Arabidopsis thaliana: one gene and its partners. The main gene of each other region encodes a partner of the protein of the gene in region 2 in a complex. Each region holds a gene or a part of one and is shown on either strand. Other genes may lie near its edges. The genes, in order: UVR8, COP1, HFR1 and STO. A codon is read from its position in the direction of its gene.

Evidence for each region.
Region 1: the proteins of COP1 (region 2) and UVR8 are in contact, whole or in part, in a cryo-EM structure (PDB 7VGG), measured with the Arabidopsis thaliana proteins. Residues at the interface, in NP_180854.1 of Arabidopsis thaliana: Ile373 (codon at 3,371), Ser375 (codon at 3,365), Gly390 (codon at 2,793), Val391 (codon at 2,790), Ser392 (codon at 2,787), Arg393 (codon at 2,784), Cys394 (codon at 2,781), Lys396 (codon at 2,775), Glu416 (codon at 2,425), Ser418 (codon at 2,419), Arg420 (codon at 2,413), Ser421 (codon at 2,410), Lys422 (codon at 2,407), Leu423 (codon at 2,404), Tyr441 (codon at 2,350), Glu442 (codon at 2,347), Ile444 (codon at 2,341), Thr452 (codon at 2,317), Arg453 (codon at 2,314), Gln454 (codon at 2,311), Ser455 (codon at 2,212), Glu458 (codon at 2,203), Glu460 (codon at 2,197), Glu463 (codon at 2,188), Arg465 (codon at 2,182), Trp467 (codon at 2,176), Asp484 (codon at 2,125), Glu496 (codon at 1,483), Asn507 (codon at 1,450), Cys509 (codon at 1,444); in NP_201191.1 of Arabidopsis thaliana: Arg41 (codon at 3,006), Asp44 (codon at 3,015), Asp77 (codon at 3,114), Trp94 (codon at 3,165), Phe97 (codon at 3,365), Asp129 (codon at 3,461), Arg146 (codon at 3,724), Gln148 (codon at 3,730), Asn149 (codon at 3,733), Ala181 (codon at 4,220), Glu182 (codon at 4,223), Trp198 (codon at 4,271), Arg200 (codon at 4,277), Tyr201 (codon at 4,280), Trp233 (codon at 4,783), Arg234 (codon at 4,786), Lys252 (codon at 4,840), Tyr253 (codon at 4,843), Trp285 (codon at 5,144), Arg286 (codon at 5,147), Trp302 (codon at 5,195), Lys304 (codon at 5,201), Trp337 (codon at 5,673), Arg338 (codon at 5,676), Tyr407 (codon at 6,157), Ala408 (codon at 6,160), Val409 (codon at 6,163), Val410 (codon at 6,166), Pro411 (codon at 6,169), Asp412 (codon at 6,172).
Region 3: the proteins of COP1 (region 2) and HFR1 are in contact, whole or in part, in a crystal structure (PDB 6QTV), measured with the Arabidopsis thaliana proteins. Residues at the interface, in NP_180854.1 of Arabidopsis thaliana: Ile373 (codon at 3,371), Ser375 (codon at 3,365), Val391 (codon at 2,790), Lys422 (codon at 2,407), Leu423 (codon at 2,404), Ser424 (codon at 2,401), Tyr441 (codon at 2,350), Arg465 (codon at 2,182), Trp467 (codon at 2,176), Asp484 (codon at 2,125), Ala506 (codon at 1,453), Asn507 (codon at 1,450), Cys509 (codon at 1,444), Ala526 (codon at 1,251), Asp527 (codon at 1,248), Lys550 (codon at 1,179), Ala551 (codon at 1,176), Ser553 (codon at 1,170), Thr568 (codon at 1,125), Lys593 (codon at 965), Asn594 (codon at 962), Phe595 (codon at 959), Phe646 (codon at 695); in NP_563650.1 of Arabidopsis thaliana: Tyr57 (codon at 2,303), Leu58 (codon at 2,300), Gln59 (codon at 2,297), Ile60 (codon at 2,294), Val61 (codon at 2,291), Pro62 (codon at 2,288), Glu63 (codon at 2,285), Ile64 (codon at 2,282).
Region 4: the proteins of COP1 (region 2) and STO are in contact, whole or in part, in a crystal structure (PDB 6QTU), measured with the Arabidopsis thaliana proteins. Residues at the interface, in NP_180854.1 of Arabidopsis thaliana: Ile373 (codon at 3,371), Ser375 (codon at 3,365), Val391 (codon at 2,790), Leu423 (codon at 2,404), Ser424 (codon at 2,401), Tyr441 (codon at 2,350), Arg465 (codon at 2,182), Trp467 (codon at 2,176), Asp484 (codon at 2,125), Asn507 (codon at 1,450), Cys509 (codon at 1,444), Ala526 (codon at 1,251), His528 (codon at 1,245), Lys550 (codon at 1,179), Ala551 (codon at 1,176), Ser553 (codon at 1,170), Thr568 (codon at 1,125), Lys593 (codon at 965), Asn594 (codon at 962), Phe595 (codon at 959), Phe646 (codon at 695); in NP_172094.1 of Arabidopsis thaliana: His241 (codon at 882), Phe242 (codon at 879), Ile243 (codon at 876), Val244 (codon at 873), Pro245 (codon at 870), Asp246 (codon at 867), Leu247 (codon at 864).

Annotation. Positions count from the first base shown.
Region 1 is NC_003076.8:25,553,911-25,561,285, reverse strand, and holds UVR8 (Regulator of chromosome condensation (RCC1) family protein), read left to right. Parts: upstream 1-1,786; 5' UTR 1,787-1,870; intron 1,871-2,301; 5' UTR 2,302-2,698; coding exon 2,699-2,792; intron 2,793-2,979; coding exon 2,980-3,166; intron 3,167-3,357; coding exon 3,358-3,504; intron 3,505-3,716; coding exon 3,717-3,798; intron 3,799-4,189; coding exon 4,190-4,345; intron 4,346-4,752; coding exon 4,753-4,926; intron 4,927-5,131; coding exon 5,132-5,203; intron 5,204-5,443; coding exon 5,444-5,515; intron 5,516-5,648; coding exon 5,649-5,767; intron 5,768-5,950; coding exon 5,951-6,036; intron 6,037-6,127; coding exon 6,128-6,180; intron 6,181-6,384; coding exon 6,385-6,465; 3' UTR 6,466-6,870; downstream 6,871-7,375. UniProt on the Arabidopsis thaliana protein: UV-B specific signaling component that acts as a UV-B photoreceptor and plays a key role in establishing UV-protective responses in plants.
Region 2 is NC_003071.7:13,976,227-13,983,884, reverse strand, and holds COP1 (Transducin/WD40 repeat-like superfamily protein), read right to left. Parts: upstream 6,005-7,658; 5' UTR 5,886-6,004; coding exon 5,568-5,885; intron 5,229-5,567; coding exon 5,151-5,228; intron 5,017-5,150; coding exon of another isoform or gene 5,013-5,016; coding exon 4,857-5,012; intron 4,600-4,856; coding exon 4,249-4,599; intron 3,679-4,248; coding exon 3,521-3,678; intron 3,427-3,520; coding exon 3,361-3,426; intron 2,834-3,360; coding exon 2,755-2,833; intron 2,465-2,754; coding exon 2,309-2,464; intron 2,213-2,308; coding exon 2,114-2,212; intron 1,508-2,113; coding exon 1,403-1,507; intron 1,261-1,402; coding exon 1,081-1,260; intron 996-1,080; coding exon 885-995; intron 774-884; coding exon 603-773; 3' UTR 276-602; downstream 1-275. Other genes in the region: AGO6 (Argonaute family protein), read left to right, coding at 7,029-7,211, 7,299-7,504, 7,602-7,658. UniProt on the Arabidopsis thaliana protein: E3 ubiquitin-protein ligase that acts as a repressor of photomorphogenesis and as an activator of etiolation in darkness.
Region 3 is NC_003070.9:465,084-469,809, forward strand, and holds HFR1 (basic helix-loop-helix (bHLH) DNA-binding superfamily protein), read right to left. Parts: upstream 2,798-4,726; 5' UTR 2,603-2,797; coding exon 2,601-2,602; exon of another isoform or gene 2,470-2,600; coding exon 2,103-2,469; intron 2,004-2,102; coding exon 1,875-2,003; intron 1,715-1,874; coding exon 1,649-1,714; intron 1,165-1,648; coding exon 850-1,164; 3' UTR 533-849; downstream 1-532. UniProt on the Arabidopsis thaliana protein: Atypical bHLH transcription factor that regulates photomorphogenesis through modulation of phytochrome (e.g. PHYA) and cryptochrome signalings. Suppresses the transcriptional regulation activity of PIF4 by forming non-DNA-binding heterodimer.
Region 4 is NC_003070.9:1,827,807-1,831,820, forward strand, and holds STO (B-box zinc finger family protein), read right to left. Parts: upstream 2,178-4,014; 5' UTR 2,060-2,177; coding exon of another isoform or gene 1,960-2,059; 5' UTR 1,883-1,959; coding exon of another isoform or gene 1,854-1,882; coding exon 1,671-1,853; intron 1,502-1,670; coding exon 1,181-1,501; coding exon of another isoform or gene 1,151-1,180; exon of another isoform or gene 1,099-1,150; coding exon 856-1,098; 3' UTR 534-855; downstream 1-533. Other genes in the region: AT1G06030 (pfkB-like carbohydrate kinase family protein), read left to right, coding at 1-108, 190-324; AT1G06045 (uncharacterized protein), read left to right, coding at 1,716-1,882, 1,960-2,059; AT1G06050 (ENHANCED DISEASE RESISTANCE-like protein (DUF1336)), read right to left, coding at 2,920-3,861. UniProt on the Arabidopsis thaliana protein: Acts as a negative regulator of seedling photomorphogenesis and light-regulated inhibition of hypocotyl elongation. BBX24/STO and BBX25/STH function as transcriptional corepressors of HY5 activity, leading to the down-regulation of BBX22 expression.

The DNA of each region.
Region 1 (7,375 bases), on a different chromosome or scaffold from region 2:
ATTGCTCATTATTTGCAAACATAAAATGGAATCAAATGTAAAGAAAAGAGATGAAGAAAATCATTTGTAGAATTCACATTTAAGTTATGTATGGAAGATGAAGAAATAAGAACCATCTTAAATCTCATGTAGTTCTTAGTTTCTTGGTTCCTACACGTCTTATTTAAACCTAAATCTTGTAAGATTTTGCTCTGTTTTGTCAGGTTAGCCTAAATCTTGAGAGGTCAAACTTGCAGTAACTTTCATTGTATAGAATTGCTTTTAACTGAATGATAAATCGAGTAGTAGATTAGTCCAATGGAAGTTTGTGGATCAAGTTATGTGTCTGTCGGCATTATAGTTTTCCTTTGAAATATTGACACATTACTAGAATCTTATCCAACAAAAAATTGTGTGGTTATGAAAATCCTAAGTAACGAGACAGCTTATTAAATGCCGAATTTGGTAGCAATTTGTTCAGATGAATGTATGTCTTCTTGTAAAAGACAGTATGAAGTGGAGGTTGATGCTAACTATCTTATGGTTCCTTATTGCACTTTGAAGCATTTATTGCAATTGTTTTCGGTTTTTTCTCTTGAGTGGGCTAAACTAATAATGGTCTGTTCTTTCTCTAAAGAGAGAAGAATTCGACAGGAGCGTGAAGCATCTTCATTCGCAAATATAACACATTAAAGCTACCTCTAGCATCATCTGTGTGATTCTCTCCAAGGTCATTCGTTGTCTGTCACGGGGCATCTCAAGTAATAAAGCTTAAAGTTAACTGTCTTTTCAGCCAAATAGTTTCATCATCTAAATATTCACATGATCTTCCATATTTCATCACCGATTATGGTTACAACATTTTTGCAAACCCTAAAATTTGTGTTATCGCCAAACTTGACCCTTATACCGGAACCCATGTGGGTGGGTGTTGATTTTTACTGTTTTGTAATTTGTTCATCGACAATCATTGACATGTACTCACCGCAATGTTTTTTCTTTCCTAGTTTCATGTGCATATATGTCTCTAAACAGTAATTGTTTAGCACTTCATGTCAAGCTTAAATTATTATAGGTGTCTTATCTTGTCTCTCTAGTATTTTCTGTTGAAGTCATGTGCATTAAATTGTATATAGTACTTCCAATGGCTTTCATATAATTTCCATTTTTCCACAAATTGTTCGTAATGATGTTTATTTAACAAGATTATAAAAGATAATGCAACAAATTTGTGTGATGAATGATGAGATGAACCCATTTGAAAGAGGTCGCAACAAATGTCAACATTAGAGACCATCTTGATCTAGAGTTTTGTCTCGTTGACTTTAATGCCAAAATTGGACAATACATATAATGCATGTATCAGGCAATGCAAAAATATCTTCATTCATTTAATTTTCTTACTATAATAGATGTCACAACTTCCCTCACTGACAAGCATATAATGTTGGTTTTATCTCAATGTAAACAACCTTTTAGTTTCACATAAATGTTAGGTCGAGCGAGGTGATATATTCGTTCCAGATCGGATGAAACAAGTAATTCATCGATGTTACCTTTATCCATATGTATATGTAAGATTATGGGTTTTAGGTAATCTAGTAAGTACTACTAAGTAGTATCCGTATGTAATTTTTTATTTATTTTTATCCGTTATGTATAATTTCTTTGGCCGTTTTCGCAAAATCTATATTTGGATGTTTTAGATCGTGAATTGATATATCTTAATTTGAATATTTAGGTATTCATATATTTTGAATCTATAGTTGACCTGTTGACCATGTATTTTGATTTGAATATCTCGCTCGATCGATAGAAGATTTTTTTTTGTTTTTGTTTTGTTGATAGTAGAATCTTCAAGTTGTAATTTAACAAAAAAAAAAAAAATCAAGTTGTAAGTAGACCGTATATCTGTATATTTCCATATGTAGAACCATGCATTTTGAATAATTGAATAAAATAACATGTAGCAAGACGTATCTTCATATGATAATCAGAATCATAATAAAAAGACAAACTGTACACCATATTGTAATCCAGGTTTAATTTGACCTCTTTGAAAAACTAAAATAGCTGAACTGAATATTTATAACTAAAAAGACAAATTGGATATGTCACTTTGGACTATGAAACTCAGAATTTTTTTTGACTAACGTGTATACTTTCACACGTGTGCATGACTAAAAACATATGATTAGGCTCTTACGATCTATGCGCCTTACACCTGTGAATGATGAACACATAAAACACAAGTTACGATCTAGAATGTCATGTGTACTGGCTTAAATCTACTTATGTGAAGAGGTAAATGAAATGGTCAAGAAACAAAAAAAAAAAGAAATGGTGAAATTATGAAAGTATAAAACTTTACCGGTGAGGTCCGTATTTGGATTTATTAAGTGAAGAGGGACCCTTTTGCAATTAAAGCCTGTACGACAAAAAAGAGATTTACTGTACGGTTAAAACAAAAAATAAAAAAACCAGCAAAAGTAAAAAAGTCAAAAAGCAGATATATGACATGTGCAAATCTCCATCGCGCCTTTATTACCATCTACCGCTTTCTCTCTCTGTCTTTCCTTGTTCAACCCTCGAGAGATTACGGATAGTGAAAGAGAAGCTACAAAATTTCCCAATTTATCAAAAAATAGAAATTTCTTACTTTTTTCAAAATTCATTTCTCCCCAAAAAAAATATCTTGTGAAAACTGCAACTGTGATCCATGGCGGAGGATATGGCTGCCGACGAAGTTACGGCTCCTCCTCGTAAGGTTCTTATCATCTCCGCTGGTGCTAGCCACTCCGTCGCTCTTCTCTGTACGTCTCTCTTCTTCTTCGCTGTTTTTTTTCCTTTTCTATTACGGACTCAAATAATCACCGGAATTGTGAAATCCGCTGCTTTAGTAGGCTGTGCTCTTCGCGAATTCTCTTGATCTGGCCTTTAATCGAGTTTCCCTTACTTTCGTCGTCTACTAATGAGTAGTTTTATGTTTTGATTTTGTAGCTGGTGACATTGTTTGTTCTTGGGGTCGAGGAGAGGATGGACAGTTAGGTCATGGCGATGCAGAGGATCGACCTTCTCCGACTCAGCTTAGCGCTTTAGATGGCCACCAAATTGTTTCCGTTACCTGTGGTGCTGATCACACTGTTGCTTATTCACAATCAGGCATGGAAGTCTACAGTTGGGGATGGTTTGTTTCTCATCATTATCTTCTTCTTTGCTGCTGAATCAATTGCTCTTCAGTCTGTTTGATATATTCGGGATGAGATGATGACCACTAGTTCCTCTCTAGATTTTTGTGTAGAAAACAGTAACTAATTATACACTCATTTGCACATATTTTAAGCCTCGTGTTCTCTAACCTTTATGTGTACTTTGCAGGGGTGATTTTGGGAGATTAGGCCATGGTAACTCAAGCGACTTGTTTACTCCGCTACCAATCAAAGCATTGCACGGTATTCGGATCAAGCAGATTGCTTGTGGGGATAGTCATTGTTTGGCTGTCACTATGGAAGGAGAGGTCCAGAGGTATTTTCTCTTTGTTATTGTTCTTCTCCTTATGTGCAATCATTTACAGTTTACATCTCAGCTCAATTAGATGAATTTCATCGGAATTTGATAATGTCGATTGCGTCCTGTGTCATTTCTATATATCTTGGTTATTGTGTACATTGCCTTTTAAACGTTTTGTCTGTCTTGTCTTGTTTTCCAACATATCTCTTTGACTTCTGTTTATACAGTTGGGGCCGCAACCAGAATGGTCAACTTGGTCTGGGGGACACCGAAGATTCTCTAGTGCCTCAGAAGATTCAAGCCTTTGAGGTTTGTATCACTAAATATTCTTCTAACATCTTTTTTCGTTGTAGTTTCCTCAACTTGCCAAATACTATGCTTCAGAATTGGGTCAATGTTGGGTCTATTTCTGCAACTTGATCTTCTTAAACATATGACTGTTACTAGTTAAGGGTCCACATCTGGTGAAGATGTCTTCAGAATCATAATTTAAGTTACATAATTTTAGGAGTGGTAGATACTAAATTGGATGTCTATGTGTTATACTATCTGCAAAACACAGATAGAAGGTAGGATCTTATTGATAATTTATCGGACTAGGTAAACTAGAAGATTAAGTGATTAGAGACCCTGAGTTTATGTTGTTAGTTTCGCTGATCTCCATTGTTACATCAACACTTTAAACTTGTAATGGGTGCAGGGAATACGAATCAAAATGGTTGCTGCTGGTGCAGAACACACTGCTGCAGTTACAGAAGATGGTGACCTCTATGGATGGGGCTGGGGAAGATACGGAAATTTGGGATTAGGTGACCGGACTGACCGCTTAGTTCCTGAAAGAGTTACCTCTACTGGTGTAAGCTAGAAGACTCTTGTTCTATAATTTTTGTTTAAGCACCTGCTACTTGTTTAAACTTGCATTTGAAGTTCAGTATACGTGAAAGAAATCGTGAATAGCTCAATATGCACTGCACTATTCTGGATTAGCTGTCTATATTGATGGAGTCACACGTATATGCAGTCTAATTTCAGTTGGTGGGTGTCAGGGAAGTGACCATAAAACTTTTAGAATGATCAAAGTTTGGTATCCTGAATCTGCACAGTTCATGAAATGAAATTTAGTTCATATAACATTGATATCACGCAACCTCACCTTTTTACCAACTTCTATTTCTGCATTTTAGTCCCTCAATTTTTTCCTTAATTCTCTTTTCATTTCGACTCACTTGACTCTCGTTTTCCTGGTTGTAACTACAATTTTAGGGTGAGAAAATGTCAATGGTTGCTTGTGGATGGCGGCACACAATATCAGTTTCCTACTCTGGAGCATTGTATACTTATGGATGGAGCAAATATGGACAGCTAGGACATGGAGACTTGGAGGATCACCTTATTCCTCACAAACTGGAAGCACTGAGCAACAGTTTTATCTCCCAGGTTTCACTTAGGCCTTATAAATCTGTCTTGAAATACAAATTTGTACATCTGAAATATCCAACATATGGGATAGCAATAATATGTTTTTCGAAAACTTTCTGACAACTATTACCTACTGAAGAAGACTGGCTTCATTGTATGTACTTCTGTTGGTTTTCTTCTTCTGTTCGACATCTTTTGGACTTACTGTTCGTTTCTTTTCCAGATTTCGGGAGGTTGGAGACATACAATGGCATTGACTTCAGATGGAAAACTATATGGATGGGGTTGGAATAAGGTCTAGAATGTCTTGCTTTTTTTTTTTTTTTTTCTGGCCTATATTTCGTAGAAATGTATAGAACACCTATTTTCATCTACACATTCACTGATATTTGCATTTAGTTGCTTTATGCTGTTAAGGAGTGATATGCATTCACTTAGATGTTATTTTAAGAAAACAACAATGCATATATTGGGTAACTTTAGTAACTCATCTTGAATAAAACAAACTTCTAATTGTCTCTCTTTTAGCCTGCAGTTTGGACAAGTAGGAGTCGGCAATAATTTAGATCAGTGTTCTCCTGTGCAAGTGCGATTTCCCGATGATCAGGCATGTTATCCCTAAAAAAGTTTAACGAGAAAGCTCGTCCCAATGTTTTACCGGCTATATAATCATATTAATAAGTTCATGTCTCAATTCGCTGTTTTCTTTTCCAATGCACACATATTGTGGAATTTCACAGAAAGTAGTTCAAGTCTCATGTGGATGGAGACATACCTTGGCTGTCACTGAAAGAAATAACGTGTTTGCTTGGGGTAGAGGTACAAATGGACAGCTCGGCATTGGAGAGTCGGTTGACAGGTAAAAGTGTGATCATCTAATCGCTCATGAATCAATGTTTTCCACTTAACATATCTTGGTGTTACGAACAGAATATGAAAATTGGCCAGTAAGATCGTTGTTTCCACCAAAATCATTGCTTTTCAATCCCACTCACTACCTATCTTGATAATGTGAAATGGATATTTGGTTTGGTGTTTATAGGAACTTTCCCAAGATTATAGAGGCACTCAGCGTCGATGGAGCAAGTGGACAACATATAGAATCTTCTAATATCGATCCATCTTCAGGTATTTAAACAATACCACTAGTTAAAACGATTTCTGTAAACGACTCAACAAGTGATTAAATGATTCAACTTTTGCATTGCTTTGTTACCAGGGAAAAGCTGGGTGTCGCCTGCAGAGAGATATGCAGTTGTTCCTGATGAAACGGTAAGCCTTAATTTTGTTAATTCTACTAAACTTTATATCCAATACGTAAACTACAATGAAAGCAAATGGCACAATTATATCGGCTTAGAACCAGATTTTACTGATTAATCATTGCTGCACAATTATACCTTGCTCTGTCAAGATCGTGGATTGTTTTCAAGGATGAAATCTATGTGTGTGATTTTGAATTTGGTTGTGTGTTAGGGCCTAACGGATGGTTCAAGCAAAGGTAATGGAGGTGATATCAGTGTTCCACAAACTGATGTCAAGCGTGTACGAATTTGAGCCTGAGTCAATTCCGTTTTTTTTTTACTTCCGGTTCTTCCGTTGGATTCGAAGGTTTTTCAGTGATCTCTTTTGGGTTGAGGTTTGTACTAAGAGTACGTCTGTCTAGTTTGGGATTGTACTTTTTGTTGTTGTTGTTAGTTTGTAACTTGTGATGCTTCCCTCCCCCTAGCTCTCTTATTACATGGGCGTTGTAAACTGTGTGTACTACTACTACTAGTCTCTAGGGTATGTACTTTTTTTTTCCTCACCATAATAATACCTTCTGGTTCTATATCTTTCATTTCTTAAAAAGTTTTCTGTTTTTTCCTTCAACCATTATACAACTTATGTTTTAAGAGAATTTTCTTTTTGTCTTATTTTTTTACCGCCTATGTTTGAATTCAAATATGATATGATTGATAGTGACCCGCTGAGTTTTAGAGTATTTGAATTTTGGAAAAAAAAACAATTTTATCAATCAAGATCAAAACTTAAGAAGAACAGTGATCACAGATTAACAAGTTGAACTTCTCCTTTTTTATCAAAGTGTGAAGCGCAGATGAGAACGAGAGTAGTATGGGTATTTTAGTTTACAACTTTTGGGTAGGTTAGCCTTTAGGCCCAACACACAATGCATGTTTCGTATTTCTATATATTCTAGTCTCAATACGAAGAGTCTAGAATACGAAGAATTTCTAATGGACTAAGTGATGGATATGTCAAAAAGAAAAAAAATTGATCCTTCATCATCCGCCAACCTAGTTATGCTGCCTAATATATTTGGCGTTTAGTGAAAATTTTCTATTGGGTAAAACTTATGTGGGTGATTCTCTTTAAAGCAAAACCATCCATATTGCTCTTTTAGTGTTTCTCTTTATGTGTCGGGTTTCTTTCCCTTAAATTATTCCAAATCGATGTCACTTAGATT
Region 2 (7,658 bases):
TGGCCATGTGATTTAAACTTCACAAAGCATGCATGATTTTATATAGACATCATGCCATCCCTAGTTGCGTATCCAAATTTAAAAGGGTTACTCTTATAGTATTGATACGACCAATTTATGAAAATGTGTCACACAATCACTTTGTTATGAGTTAATTTAGAGGTGTTAAGTAATTGTATATAATTTCACTTATGACACAAATTCGTCAATTCTCATGAATTTTACATTATAAAATGATTTTTTTTTTTCAATGATCTTGCTACATGAACATACTAATGACTTATTGCATGGGTCGGACCTTTTGTATAAGCCAAGGTTTGACTTTTCATGACCGATTCACATCACCGCATTTTGATTCTAACATTTAATTATATAAAGTAGAAGCTAAGAAACCGTAAGACATATCTACATCACTGATACAAATTCTTCTTGAGGAGTGTTCCAAGGCAAGCATAATAATACAAAGTTGCTTTCCAAATGATGAACCCTACTTTTAATAAATTGTTCTCTCTCTATATGTAACTCCCACTAAAGAACATAGACGGCAAATTTGTTTTTATTGATTCACGAAGCTATAAGATCTTTTGTAATGTCTACTAGAATCACGCAGCGAGTACCAGAACTTTGATGGTTCCTTGACTATTCGCAGTCAACATCGTGGGACTATCACTCTTCCAGCAAACCGCACTAATAAAGTAGGAACCTGCCTCTTCCTCTGCATCGTCCATGTCTGGCGATCCAAATCTGTGCGATGTCACGGGTCTCGTGATTTCCTGCATCGCATCATTCACATTTTAAAATACTTGAGCAACGACAGGTTGAAAATCTGTGAATCATGAATGAAAAATGCTAAAGTTGAGAGCAGAGGTTTCGGATTTGTGAACCTTGTGATATACATATACTTCGTTTGTCTCGCTTCCACAGGCGAGATACTCGCTGTTCACTGTGAGACCCACAAAGTTCTTCTCGTTAGTATGTCCTCTGAATGTTCGAACCTGAAAAGTAAAATTGAACAACATAGTCAAGACAAGTTTTTCTTTTTGACTGAATCTGCAAGATTGGCTCGGGCAGTAATCTAACTGGCAAGTTGTCTTTGACATCCCATAAGCGTAGTGTGCTATCTGTGGACGCAGAAGCGAGCTCGTTGTTGGACAAAAATTTAACATAGGAAACTGCTTTCTTGTGTCCACTGAAGACATGAAGTGGTTGGCTTATGTTTCTTAGATCGTAATAATGGATGTGATGATCAGCTGATCCGACCTGTGATAAGTCAACAGGCTTAAACGTCTAAGTCTCTCTATCTAATTAAAGATTATATCTAGAGACGTGTGATAGTGTCATGCTGATCATGAGTGGTAGCGAATAAATGTGAGATGCAAAGTTGAGGCGTGGAAGTATATACCGCAATGTAGTTGCTTGAGCCAGGATTGTACTTGACACAACATATGTTTGCTTTCATATCAATATTAATCACACTTGCTTCCTGCCTCGTGCACCAAACTTTAACCTGGATCAAACACACAGCACAATTGGTTAATCTATGAGACATGATTTAACAGATGCAATAATGCATGGTTGAGGATTAACTAGTAGTGAATTGACTTAAAAGGAGCCCACTGGTATAATATGCTTTTGTCAGAATTAGAAATCCAGTGAATTTTTCAATAACGTTTAATTAAATTTGGACAAATGAAGCTACAAAATTTCAAGGTAAAATCTACTATATACAAGTGTCCAGTTTCGTTTGTTTCCTAATGTATAGCCACCACAGATACACTAAGGGGAAAATTTTGCTGAAAATTTAAGAAACCAACAAACATTCAATGTAGGAAGGGCTACATATGACCAATCCCCAAGTTGGGAAGAACAACTCAAAGAAAAGTTTAAGAAGTAGTAGAAAAGATTCATGAGAACACAATGTACTAATGAGCAAGTAGGAGATTCTCCAGTTTTGTTTCACAATATGTCTCTTTAGTTCGTCGTAGAAATTAGACAAATCCGTGACCAAGTTAGTTATAAGAGCTAGGAGATATCTAAAAGTAGTATTCTTTTTATATGAGACATAGCCCAATGTGAGATGAAAGGTGATAACGGAAAATATGGAGATATTTACCTTGCAGTCGTCACTACCAGATACAAGCATTGATGGTTCTGTTCGTGAAAAGTCAACACTCCAGGCACGTTTTTCGTGCTCTTCATACTCCATAAGACTCTGCCTCAGTTTACATAAAAATTCAAATACGCTGCAGAATTCATGAGATGAATATCTTATAGGTGCGATGTTAGATACTTTGGGTAAAGTACTCACCTGCCTAGTAGTTACATCCCACACTGTTACTATTCCTTCATAATCACTGCTTGCTATGTGATTTTTTTCATGCTTATTCCAACTCAAGCAACTAAGTTTAGACCGAGTTGACATCTCCACAATCGGACACTGCATATCTGCTGGTTCATTTACAACCTGAAAAGTAGCAGCCGATAATCAATCAGTTCAGCGTGGTCCATTGGATAAAACAGAAAATTAAAACCAAAAATTTGATTAGCTTTGATTTATATTCTTCTACGCAATACAAAAGTGTAAAATGGCTATCTTGCATCAAAGCTAGAATTTCCCAAGAGCATAACTTAGTTTCATTATCAACGAAGCTTTCTTAGAATTGAGATGCATGATCAGTTTCACAAAAGCATAAGGTTGGACAAGAAGATTCAATTGGTATGTAATTGAATGCACTCCAAGATTTATGAACGTACCGAAGAGAAGTCAAAAACCTTTATACATCTAGAAACACCAGCAGTGGCAAACAGCTCATCATCACGATCAAACTCTATGCTGAAAAGGAACAGCACCCTCTTCATCAGCAAAATCAGTAAGATGGTACATCAAATTACAGGTAAACTAGAGGTCCAGGCAAAGCATAAAGCATGTAAACTATGGAAGACCATAAACCAAAGCACATAGAGAGAAAAAGATATGAGCCCCGGAGCTCCCAGACCATAAACTAAAAATATATATCTTTCGTCTCTTCATTGAGAAGAGACACTTTCATATAAAAGATCGCAAACCGATTCTATATATTCCGACATGGATAAGGATAACATAGTGTTCCATCTTTTAGAAAATTCTCCTCAAGTGGCCTGCTGACTACACAACCTTCTCCCTACCATGTCAGCAGTTTTATCTTCATACTATTCACTGGCTTAGAATTACACAGCAACGAATCCCATAGTAATAATTGCGTCTATCAATACATTAAACAAAACTTAATCACTTAAGGGTCTATTTTGATATATTCGGAGACATTCTTTTGGTACCTATCATCTGTTATCTGATCAACGAACAAGGAATAGAAAATTCACCTTGATACAATGTTGGCTGAATGAAATATATCCCCATGCCGGATTTCTGCTATAACTCTTAGACGACTGTGAATAAAGAGTGCAATTAAAACCCCAACTAATTCGAAAACACTCTTTATGTACGGCTAGACCGATTGAAAAGGGATAGTCACTCCTCTACCTGTAGCGAGTGAAGGTAGTCAACACAGATTGAAAATCTGCAAGGCCGTTGCTATAGCCTTCCCTCCGTACTACACTCTTATCATTTTCTTGTTTACTATTTGGTTGGTCTGCCAACTGACGCCGCTTTTGGAGGTAACATTCTTGTAAATCATTGAACTACAAGACAAGACACTTTAACAGAATTAGGCAATCTGTGCATATATCAACAAGCAGTTACAGAGAGATTAAAGGACCATGCAGGTTTTTTCAAGAAAACTACTATAATTGTGATTGCATAGTATTCACAGAACTGTTAGTGTGTCTAGAGAACATAGTGACTTTTTGTTGCTATAGTACCAGAGAGACAAGAAGCGGCTACTATCACTAAGCAGTAGATATAAAGTCCAGAAAGCTATTTCTACTTTTACGTGCAAACAATACGAAATCAATCTCTCTGAAGTCCAATCGGCTTTTTATAAAGACCACCAAAAATGTGGGCCTTAATCTAAGGTATCTTTTCCGTAAGAAGATTCATCCTCTACCCACAACCACTTTCAATTTCTCGAGCTGTCAATCCAGATGACCAAGAGCTGAGTAGCTAGGCATGGTAGTAACTGTAACACAATCACTGGGGCCTAATTGTAGTAATTATTCTTATTCTTTAATAGACAAATATCTTAAACTTTAATGCCATTGTCCTTTTACCATTTCAGCATAAAGATGTTGAGTAGACAAGGAGGAACAAACCTGAGCATGAATCCGTTTCTTTCTAGCCATTGAGACAGTTGACTGATTCAAACTTTGCGAATCTGACCCACTCAGCGCATCCTTCTTTGGTAGCCCATGAGAGCTTCCTTGTGCCTTCCCCTCTACCTTTTTGTTTTGATAATTGCCTACAAAATTTCCTCCTCTTATGCTGAGAGAATTGGAGTTGAAACCAATCTGGTTCTTCTCATGTGGCCATGCATTTCTTGTGCTTGGATCATCTCCGAGCATCCGCAACTTTACAGAATATCTGTCCCTAGCTCGGTATAAATCTATTCTATGTCTCTCAACGGCATTTATATCTTCTTTAATATACTGGAGATCAGTTTGCACCTACATTAAGATAGAGAAGACATAAATGACAGAATTCTATAATATTCTGAGATCTCATCTAACATTCAGGGGTTATACGTCTCATGAATAGTTGGATAGATCATACATCTATTGATAGAAACATGGTTTATGGCTTTCTTTTACAACAACTATACAGTCTAAACCCAGTGAAGATTTTGAAGCAAATGGAATGAAGAGCAACGAGAATAATTATCAATAGGTAGCCCAATGCTACTCCATAATTCAGACAAACCAACCTCATTTAGTTCATCAACTTTTTGCTTCCTTAGACAATGCAAAAAGTCCAAAAGTATCTGCATGTTCCTCTCAGCTTCTTCCTGTTCCATTTTTCTCTTCCTTTCCGCAAGAAGTGTCAGAAGATTATCAACCTCCTTAATTGACACATCACAACCCTGTCTAAGTATGAACGCAGGAAGTCAATATTTGATCAAAAGAAATGACTTAGAATTGCTTTTTACTCCAATAATAATTCTGAGAAAGCAAACTTAAAGAGGAAAAAATGAAACATAAAAAGCTTGTTAAGAACCGACCCTTTGTAGTGCTTCCCGAAACTGATCCAAGGGCGATGCAGTTTTTGACACATGCCGAGCTGAAGTTTTCTTCAATAGCTACACAATTGATACATAAACGTCATATAATAAGCTGCATTCCAGTGATAAATAGTTTCAATACACTATCATTCCTATAAACATGCTTCTATTTAGCTGTAATAAGCAGAATCCTACCACAATACTACACATCAAAAACAAAACAAAACCTTCCTAAGAAAATCTAATGGCAAGGTTCATTGGAATCGATTAAAGACTAAGCTAGCTTACTTGTTTCCACAAAAACCACGACAAAAACCAAACTTGATTACAAGCTAAGACTCAAACAAGCAACACCCGAACTTGAACTGAAAAGCTAAGGACCAAACACAAATTACGAGTAAAATTAGAAAAAGAAACCTTATCGAGCAAGAAATTAGGGTAAAGCTGATTATTGGTGAGGTGTTGGCTACAACAGGGACAATCACTCTTGTTCCTAAGATGTGTGATGATACACATATAGCAGAAACTATGACCACAAGCCGTGAGGAAAGCATCTTTAATAATCTGCATACAAATCGGACAAAGCAAGTCTTTATCCAGATCCGGTGCTCCAATCTCAGAACCGCCGCTTCCTCCGTCGTCATTTTCATGACGATTAGCACCTTCACCAACTGAAGATGTTCTCGGGTCAGGTTTCACCGCTGGAACAACCGGATCCGTCGAAATCTCTTCCATTTTGCTTTCAAAAGATTTCTTCGATTGTGATTTTGGTTTTTGAGAAAATCGGAATTGTGAGAAAAGAGTGGTTTGGGTATGACGTCGGAGATGAAGGAGGAGTGAGGCTGAGGTGTGGTGGGATCCACCGTGGTTCTTTTCTGAGGTGACAAATCCTACACGTTCTGGTCTACGCGCTTCTTTTCGCGCGTGTGTCTGGCGTTTCTCCAAGCGCTGGTACGGTTTAATTATCCGGCTTCTAATTTATAGTCCGGTTCAATGAAATTTCTTACAATTACCACGACGGTCTAATTTAATTTCTTACAACCATTCATTTTATTTCTTACTATTTGAAATGAATAAGTTGGGAATTTCAATCCATTCAACCGGAGCATAACCCTAGAAATAGAATAAGTTTTGAAGGATTCGGTTTAATAATTTTGGAATAAACCATTTTTATTTCAGTTCTTAAATTTTGTTACTGTAAAAAATGACTGAAAAGTGAAATATATTTTAATTTTCCCATCACTGGAAACGTTCCCTCCATTCTTTTGCTTGTCTGGGAAACCCAAAGAGACTGTGACGGAGAAGAGAAATGAGCTAAATAAATTCCTCTCTTTGATTCACCGGAACCCTAGAAATCCTCTTCTTAATTCTTTCAAAGGTGCGCTGTTTTCACTAGATATCGCTGTTGTAATTGTTGTTGATTCGGAGCTAGGTTTTGTTTTTGTCTCTCTTTCGGAGAATTTGCATGAAGCTAGGATTTGTCTGTTGATAGTTGTATGGTTTTGGCTGCGTTGTTTCTCTCTTGAAAGTCTTGTTATGCTACTGTATGACACACTCGAATGAGTTTTTGTTTGTGTAATGTTTCTCAATTTTGAAGGCGACCAACAGTTAAAGGTGCCATTTTTTTTCCAGATTAAGTTTGTTCCTCATCTGAAATTTATACCATTTCTCGCGATTTAGCAGGATATGCCCAGAAATTAAAATCTTAGAACGACAATGGTGGTAAAGTTTTTAGCTTTTTACCTTTTGGAGTTGTCTTCTTAATTTGGTGTTTTTCTTTTCTTTCTTAGTCTCCTGAGCATTGTGTTTTGGACTGGTTTTTGCACACTGTAACCAACCTCCACTTTTCTCTCTTGCAGATTATTTTCCCCTGGAAGGATGGAGACATCTTCATCTCTGCCACTGTCACCCATAAGTATAGAACCAGAACAGCCCAGCCATCGAGATTATGACATCACAACTAGACGTGGGGTTGGAACCACAGGCAACCCAATAGAATTGTGCACCAATCACTTTAATGTTTCTGTGAGACAGCCGGATGTAGTATTTTACCAGTACACTGTAAGATTCATTAGTCACTTTTCTGCATTCTTTCATCAGTGTCTGTGCGTGTGTGAGATGTTTGACATATCGGTACCTTTTTTGCAGGTTAGTATCACCACAGAAAACGGTGATGCTGTTGATGGGACAGGAATAAGCAGAAAGCTTATGGACCAACTATTCAAGACTTACTCTTCTGATCTTGATGGTAAAAGGTTGGCATATGATGGAGAGAAGACTTTATATACTGTTGGTCCTCTACCACAGAACGAATTTGACTTTCTAGTCATCGTGGAAGGGTCATTTTCAAAACGGTATGTCCCTCTTATCTGGATTGATATTTAATCGTTTCAAGGTGTCAAGATAGATCTTGTTGATCTTCTAACTAACGCAGTCTTGTTAAGTTTATAGTGATTGTGGTGTCTCTGATGGTGGTAGTTCTTCCGGTACTTGCAAGCGATCAAAACG
Region 3 (4,726 bases), on a different chromosome or scaffold from region 2:
TGACATTGTTTTTCACTAAAGCCAAGCCTTATTGAGACAAAAGGATATGTATTTGTAAAATAATACGTATATAAGTGTGCGCCTGTGTCTGTGCGTGTAGAATTTTTCTTTTTTTATATATAAATATGAATTGTGTCTCGAGTTTCGGACGTAATATTTCTTGTGTGTGTATTTACCTAGCTCAGAAAACAAAAGAAAAGAGATTATTACTCACAAGTCACAACTTTAAAACAGAAAACATTTTGAATTTTCCACAAAAAAATGAATATATCAACTGTGGAAAAGCGATGTGTAAACACAAAACGCAAATCAATAATTGATGTGTAAGAAAGTGATTAATAATTCTCGAAGTCAAGTTTCCTCATTTCTTCTTTTGATCTTTTCTCATACATCCGGCCCTATATTTGGCAGAGCCACATCCTAACTTCTAAGTAACATGCAGTGTGCAGAGGTAAGTTAATGTTACTTTTTGTACATTAACATTATCATAGTGTATGACCCACTGGTCCTGAATTTGAGATGCTGAAGATAAAGCTAGTTGGGATGCATGTAACCAAGTGTAAACGTTTGAGACGCTTAAGAATCAGGGAAATCTTGTTCCTACGTTCAATGCTCTTATAAGCATGTCTCAATATATTTTACAAAATATCAGATAAATGAAAAAATTGTTACATGCAAGAATTTATACAAAAAGTTTTAACTTATTGATTATTATTAATATACAAAACCACCCGGAAAAAAAAGTATATGACACAAATGGTTCACACAAACTGTCCTAATTTGGAACTCTTTTCTCTCTTAATTAGTCAACGATCATTTCACATAAACTTTTATCGAGCTACTTACTTATCATAGTCTTCTCATCGCATGGGAAGAAAAATCCAAGAAACTTGGGAAATAAGGAACCAAACCGTGAAGAGACTGAGGAGAAGAAGCTGGTGATGATGTTGTAAGAAATAGAGATTGACTAGATGAATGTGGGAATGAAATATTAGTAAACGGTGGTAATGGCCAATTTAACGCCGGAATTAGCGGCGATGGCATCATGTGATTCGCCGGATTTAGGCCGTGAGCCGAAGCCATTGCCGTCAGCATGTGGTTGTGCATTCCAAATCCTAATGTCGCCGGAAGAAAATAAGGATTCACCCCCACTGTTGACATCATCTGCAATTATAACATCAACTTTGATTACAACTTAGTTTCTGAATATAAATAGCACATATACATATTCGAATGATCAAAATGGGTACATAGTTCTATAAAATATAAAACATTTAGTTGGCACTAAATAATCACATGAAAAGAGATGAATTCGAAATATTAAAGAAATTCTATAGACTTCACCATCTAGGTTATCTACTGCCTACTATATATCATTCCATTTTTTTCGTCACTAAACACCAAAAAGTGGCTATATTTGTTTGATCAATTTGAAACCCATATTGTAAAACAATAATCCATATCTCATAAGTTGGCGAGTCAGATCGAATACCAAGAACAGTTTATGTCAACTAGTTAAATTAACCAAAAAAAAACTCAGACTATTAGATAAACACTTAAAACCTCAAGCCTCAATAATTCAAATATATGGAAGAAGAACACTGAATAAAGTGTGAAATAAAAATAGTGAATAAAGTTAAATATAGACCTGAAGTTGAAGTTGAAGGTTTTTCATATACTCTATGGTCTTGTCGAGAACCGAAACCTTGTCCGTCTGAAAACCGTAAAAAAGCACCACCCGTTATCAGAATTGGAAACTTAAGGCAAGATTTCTTCATATATGCAACGGAAGTAGCGGAAACTTATACGGAAAAGACTAGACACTCAATAGTTAAATTGAAACATTATATAGAAGGATCTATATACACACCAACCTTGTGACAATTAGGTACGAGTTGCTGTAGCTTACGCATCTTATTACTCATCTTCTCGTCTCTTCTTCTTCTCTTGGAACCTTTTCGAGTAACTGAAGGAACTTCTCTTGTAAACTCCTCCGATTCATCCTAAATTAATTAATTTTATTTATAGAAAGAAAAAATTAAAAACAGTGAAAAATGATAATACATAAGGTAACATGAAAATATATCTATGTATCGACTTACATCACTACTTAAGACCTGGATACGACGTTTTTTGGGGTTCTCATGTTTGTTTCTCAGATAAAATCGATGATCTGATCTCTCTGAAAAATCTTTAATATGATGATGATCATCAGTTTCAGAATGTTCATCAGGGACAACAACCAATAAATCCTCCTTCGCATTTTCTACTTCTTTATGAATCTCTGGAACAATCTGAAGATAATTATCAGTTTGATCATGATCAAAGTAGCCGTAGCCCCATTTTAGACCGTTGATTAGACGATCTTCATCACTTCTTGCTCTTTCTGACATCATGCCCTGATCTTTCACAGCAAGTGATCCGACGTCGTTTCTCCATCCCAATTCCATGAAAGCTTGATTATTCGACCTGCCAAGAAAAAAGTAGTAAACTATTAGGGTTTACGATACAAATCATTGATAAATTATTAAAGAAATAAATAAAGAGAATAACAAGGCAAGAAACCTAAACTCTGAAACCTCCTGTTTAATTATACTTACATGTTAGTTAAAGAGATATCGGAGATGAAAAGTTTGGAGAAGTGTTTTTTCTTTAGGGATTTCAGCTTTGTCCGAGAAAATGGTATCCCATACGCTTATGTTATAAGAGCGATCGGATCAGATAGATGGTATAGTTGTCAGCTACATTGGTGACCCACTTATATTGTGCCACGTTTCAAAGTATGTGTGGTTCGTTTGTTGCGTACACCGACAACAATAAAACAATTCGGCTAGATTCTAACATACAGCTACACGAGGTTATTATAGACATATTGATGTCATTTGAGTTCTTTGGAAACAATACTTTTTTGGATTCACAACAAACATTGTAATGAAAATATTGTTTTACTAAAATAATTAATACAGTAATTAAATTAGTTTTTATTTTGGAAAAGTATTGTCAAATAATTCCATTATCACAAATTCACAATGTACTTAAATGGATTATTATTCTGCTTATTGTTTTTATGATTCTATACGTAATTGTCCCAAAACTACGTCATAGTAGCATATATCGACTTTAGAGTAATCTTGAAATTTTGCACAGAAAGATAAAAGTAATCTTGATTAATCAATAACGTCACTAGATTCACTACCACTTTGACACATGAACATAGAGATAAATTTATCTTTGTACGTATAGAATGTATTCATTTATATATTGAGATTTGAGAGACAGTTTAATAGTATTTCTTAACCAAGAACTGTAATGCACAACGGGTAGGGCCATTTTTATCCGTTTAATTATTTTTCCCGTAATCTTATCGTTTATCATTGAATACTCGTCATTAAGCTTTATCTTTATATATATATAAAACAATGTAAAATATCGGATGTCTATTTGTTTATTTTTGGTCAGATCATCTCTAAATATAAAAACAAAAAGATGACGTCTCCGTTTGGAAAAAAAAAGGTTGACTACCACAAGTTTCATAATATAATCGACAAAAAAATATCGTCTGTAACAACGATAAGATTATTCGATCTCCCAATTGGTAAATTCGTTATTATGAAAGGCTTACAAAATTCAGTAACCAGCAATCATAATAATTTCAGAGTTATGATACTAGAGTTCACTTTTTTGTGCAATAATATAATGGTCGATTATTTCCAGCCTGAGAATGCATTTCATTTCATGACCATTTATGGATTCCTGAAAAAAGAATTCATTTAGGGTTTTATCCAAAATCCCACGTGGGTTGTGGGCTCTAAACCAATCCTATAACGAATCAGTTTTTTTTGTTTTCTGTAACCCCACGACACATTTATTGGAATTTTAGAGTCACGTCATCATCAACCATACACCGAGCAGGTGCGATGGTCCACATTATTACTATCTTTGATAAAAAAGGTCCACACTATTTTCCTTAATTAAAAAAAACTCCAATAATTACAACATATTCTGAATAAACAAAAATGACCTGGTTACTAAATATCAACAATCAAAAAAAAAAAAAAACAGTATCAAATTCTAATTTCGAATTAGTAGAACAAAAATACTAATTATTATTATTCAATTGACTAATGAATGTTAACTTTGTAGCGTTGAATCAAATGGGCCTGAAAAAAATCGAAAAAGAGAGAGAGAGAGGAAGAAGAAAAGGCGTGTTCACGTGATGCCCTCGTGATGGACATGGTGCTATGTCTGACACTTGGGTACTTTATATTTTGTTGGTGTCTTAGCGAGCGACGAAGCAAAACCACAGCCACTACATAGGTTTCCAATCTCCTTCACGACAACGACCTCTCGGAATATACGTTCCAATCTACAACTTCCCACTGTTCAATCTATTTGATATTATGGAAAAACTTTGCATTATTGATTCTTATTTTAATATTTTTCTCTTGTTCCCACCGTTTTGGTTGGAATCATATACTATACGAAGTACTATTTGTGTATCTAGTGGTTGATTGACGATTTTTATTTTTGTTGTACATTAAATGCAGCATCTATGATCTATCTATCTTCTTCTTTTTTTGCCAAATAGAACGTTATCTTTACTGGGCTTTTAGGTTAGCCCATGTAATGTTATTAACCCAAATATGAATTTATTAAGGGCCCATCAATGAGGAGTGAAACATGTTAGACAAAACTGAGAACAGGCCTCTACTTCTTCTTTTCGTAG
Region 4 (4,014 bases), on a different chromosome or scaffold from region 2:
GGATCTGTTGAAACTTTCCATGTTGACGCTGTGGATACTACTGGAGCTGGTGATTCTTTTGTTGGCGCGCTTCTAAACCAGATTGTTGATGATCAATCTGTACTCGAGGTTAACTCCCATTGATATTGTGTGTCTATTCAATCAACTGAATATTGTTGATGATATTTACTGATTTTTCTCGTTTCTTAGGAGGAAGAGAGATTGAGAAAAGTGCTGAGATTTGCAAACGCTTGTGGAGCAATCACGACGACTAAAAAGGGAGCCATTCCAGCTCTTCCTACAGATTGTGAAGCTCTCAGTTTTCTTAAGATACAAGTAGAATAGTAAAACTTCTCTTCGAGTCCAGAATTCTCCTTGTCTATTGTAATAATCTGTTCTGGATTCTTCCTGATGATTCTGATCATTTGTAATGTTTTTTTTTTTTGGTTCTCTCTCTGTCTTTTCTTTTTCTTCTTCATTGTATTGAATAAAACAGACTTGTGACTTCTGAGCTTTTCTTGCTAATAGAAAACAAAGAGTTTTTCGTAGTTGTTTGGAACCGTAAATTGCATTGAGGATTGTTTCTCAAGGCTTTGAAAACAGAGTAATAATCAGGAACAAACAAAAAAAAACCAAGAAAGAACAGAGAGAACACATTTAGTATCAAGTTTGTAGCATCAAAGCATTAAGCATAGACCATGTTCAAGAGGTATGAACAAAACTCAAACACAGACATTTGTTATAAGCTCTCAACATATCTTACACAACTTAAGACAAAACTAAAATGTATATGACATTAACTCCACACATGCAGATAGGTTTCTTGTTTGTTCTTTTACATTGAAGAATGTCTACACATAGATTACATATAGCTTTTTAGCCAAGATCAGGGACAATGAAGTGTTCCTCATCATCATCATCATATCTGGTCTCAAACCTCGGCTTCTTGTGTGAAACATTTGACTTCATAGGTTTGTATGAATGAACATGACCTAAATGCGAAACAGAAAGCTCAGGAACTTCAGCTGCAGGAAGAGCCTTGTCATTAATCTGATCACCGAAGAATCCCATGTCTGAAAACCAATCCAACTCCCCTGCCCCAAGATCAAGCTGTCCTTTCTGCTCAATTTAAACCAAGAAGTCAATAAAAGCTTCTTGCAAAGAAAGTGATCTAACATTGAATCTCAATTCTCATCACTACCTTGTCGGTGGATTCAATATCAGAGAAGTGAAAGAAATCGTCAACAGCCCAGGGAAGTGGAGTAGCAGAAGAAGGTTGTTGTTGCTGCTGGCTTGTGGATTTAGCAGGAATCTGATTAGCCTTCTGTTGGTTGTTGGAAGGCTCAGGTTGATTCTTCTCAATTTCTTTACTACATATAGTTGAGGTCAGAGCTACTTTGATCCCAGTGGCTAAGAACCTCTGGTGATTAGCAGATCGAGAATTAGCCACGTGGATGGATTCATCGCAGTCCCTGCAAAGCAGAGCTCTATCCTCTACACAGAAAATGAAAGCTGCCTTCTCCTACAAGTCATAAGAACATAATGAGCAAACCCTAGTCTTAAACAACAAGGCATACATACAACAGTTGCTACAAGATCTATAAAATCACAACTTTGCAACAGAGCAGATTCAAACTAACGAATCCATAAAATATTTGACAAGATCTAATGAGATCTGTAGAGAAACTTACTTGGCAGATATCGCAACGAGGGAATTTGGTGGAGAGGGAATTAAGATGAAGACGTTGGTGCTTGCTAGCGAGTTTGTTAGCGGCGTGAATCTCGATGTCGCATTGAGGACAGAGAGCAGCTTCGTCGGCGCAACAAATCACCGTCGCCGGAGCTTTCTCACACACATCACACTGTATCTTCATCACCGGATACAAGAAACCAAAATATCTAGGTTTCTCAAGAAGGAAACAGAATGCTTAAAATGAAGGGTTTATTGCTAGTCTGGCTTCTCTTAGAATAGCTTAGCAGAAGCGTAGGTTCAGAGAAAGAGCTTAGAGAAGATGAAAGAACAAAGAGGGAGAGAGTGTTTTGTGGGGAACAAGTAGGTGGGATGAGCAATTGGTTGTGAGTGAAAGAGAGAAGATAAGGATTTGATGAATCTTGCTTGTTGCTTTGTTTTCATTATTCTGCGTATCAAAAGGAAACACTCTGCTTCTTACAGCAAGGTCTTGCGGGTCCCACTCTTTTTCTGTGGCTCTCCTTCTTCCTCTCGTCATCTCTCCTACCTTTAGATATTTTTATTATATTCACACTTTGCTATTTTATATTCTTGTTATTTTCTCACGTAGTAGAGATTTGTGTTTTGTTTACTAATCTAGTCAAAACACATTAATTTTGACTAATAAACTAACTTCAATAATTCCACCACCACTAGACTTTTACGCTCCTTTTATATGATATGCTCGAATTTCAAGTCTCGTGAACTTTTACGATTTCAAGAAAGATTTGTATACAAAAATGGGCTTCATCTAGAAAGAAAGAGTTGGGTAATGGTATTACTCAAATCAGAGAATATTACACGACTACACGTAATCTTGAAAATGACATGTGAATTGATTCCTTGGAATGACGACATGTTATGTTAATATGTACCATTCGATCAGATTTTTCTTCTTCTTTCACTTTTTCGTTTTCTCAATCATAAAAACGATTAATGCAATCATTAAAAATATACTGGCATGTTAACTAACAAAGAAATGAATGCTTAGCCCGTTCGAGAAAAAGAATGATCCTAAAAGACACCAATACAAAATTAGGCATGGTTGGTCACAAGAATTGTTGTTGGATATCACATATCCATCCATATTAGTAAAAACCAATCTATACATCTGTGGTTTTTTTAAAGAATTGACAAGTTTTTGTTTCTGTTTTTTGGTAATGAAATCGAACAAATTCAAAGAATTGTGAAGTTAATAACTCCCAAAACACTTACTGCTTCTGTACATGTTCATCCTTCTGGATGTCCCCATGAGAAGTATTGTTCATGTTGGCCGTATCTTGATTAAGCAGATTAGAGAATCCATTTCCAATCGATTTCCACCAGCTCGACCGCTCTGAGGTAGTTTGATCCCACTGGTCATTACTGGTGCTTGAGGACAGTTCGATAGATGTGGCTGACTCGGTCTGCAGCTCAGAGAATCTCACAGCTCCTAGTAGCTTTTCTGGAAGCTCTGCTTCGGTCTGACTCTCAATGAGGAACGCAAGATCAACTGTCAATGTAGTAACGTAGCCAAATGCGAGATGAACAATGGCACTAGCGACCATTGAAGAACCAATATCGACATCAATCTCCACAAAGTTTTCCCCTGAAACATATTTGCAAGAGAGTGCACGTCCAATCACACAGATCGCTTGCTCTCCAACAGCTTTTCTAACAATCCAAGGGCCTTTGACAATGTTTGCAATCAGTTTAAGCCTCGATTTCTTGAACCCATCATCTCCTTTCAAAAACCGATCCATCAGGGAGCCTTCAAGGATAGGCTCTGTGGTAACAAAGTAAGCCACAGCACTGTAATTGTCTTTGTGAGGAAGCTGGAGATTGAATGCCCAGACAAAAGGCTTAGTTCCATCTTTTTGAAACTCCTCATCGATAACTTTCCTGATTCGGCTGCTTGGATAACTCAGGATCTCAGAAAGCTTTTTAGGACCTTTAATCCAATCAAAACCCAGAGGCTTTAGAAGGAAATCACCAGCAGGTATCTTAACTTTGTCAGAGAAATACTTTGGTCCTCTAACCATAAATGTGTCAGGAGATGGCGTCGTCCAACCATTTTTGCAGTTGTCGTCTGGCTTAAGACATGGAACAGCTCCCTCTAATTTCACTCTCTTAATCCATTCTGGCTCAGTTTCCTCACCAACAGAGCCAGCCATATCTTGCGAAAACCTGCAACACAGAGCTTAAATCCTTGAGTAAAACTGAGTGTGGAAAACAATCTCATGGATTCTACTTAGTGAATATAGCAAACAAGAATATGCCATCAAGAAGACCAAAACATGTGATCAGAAAACAGAACCATGTATGTC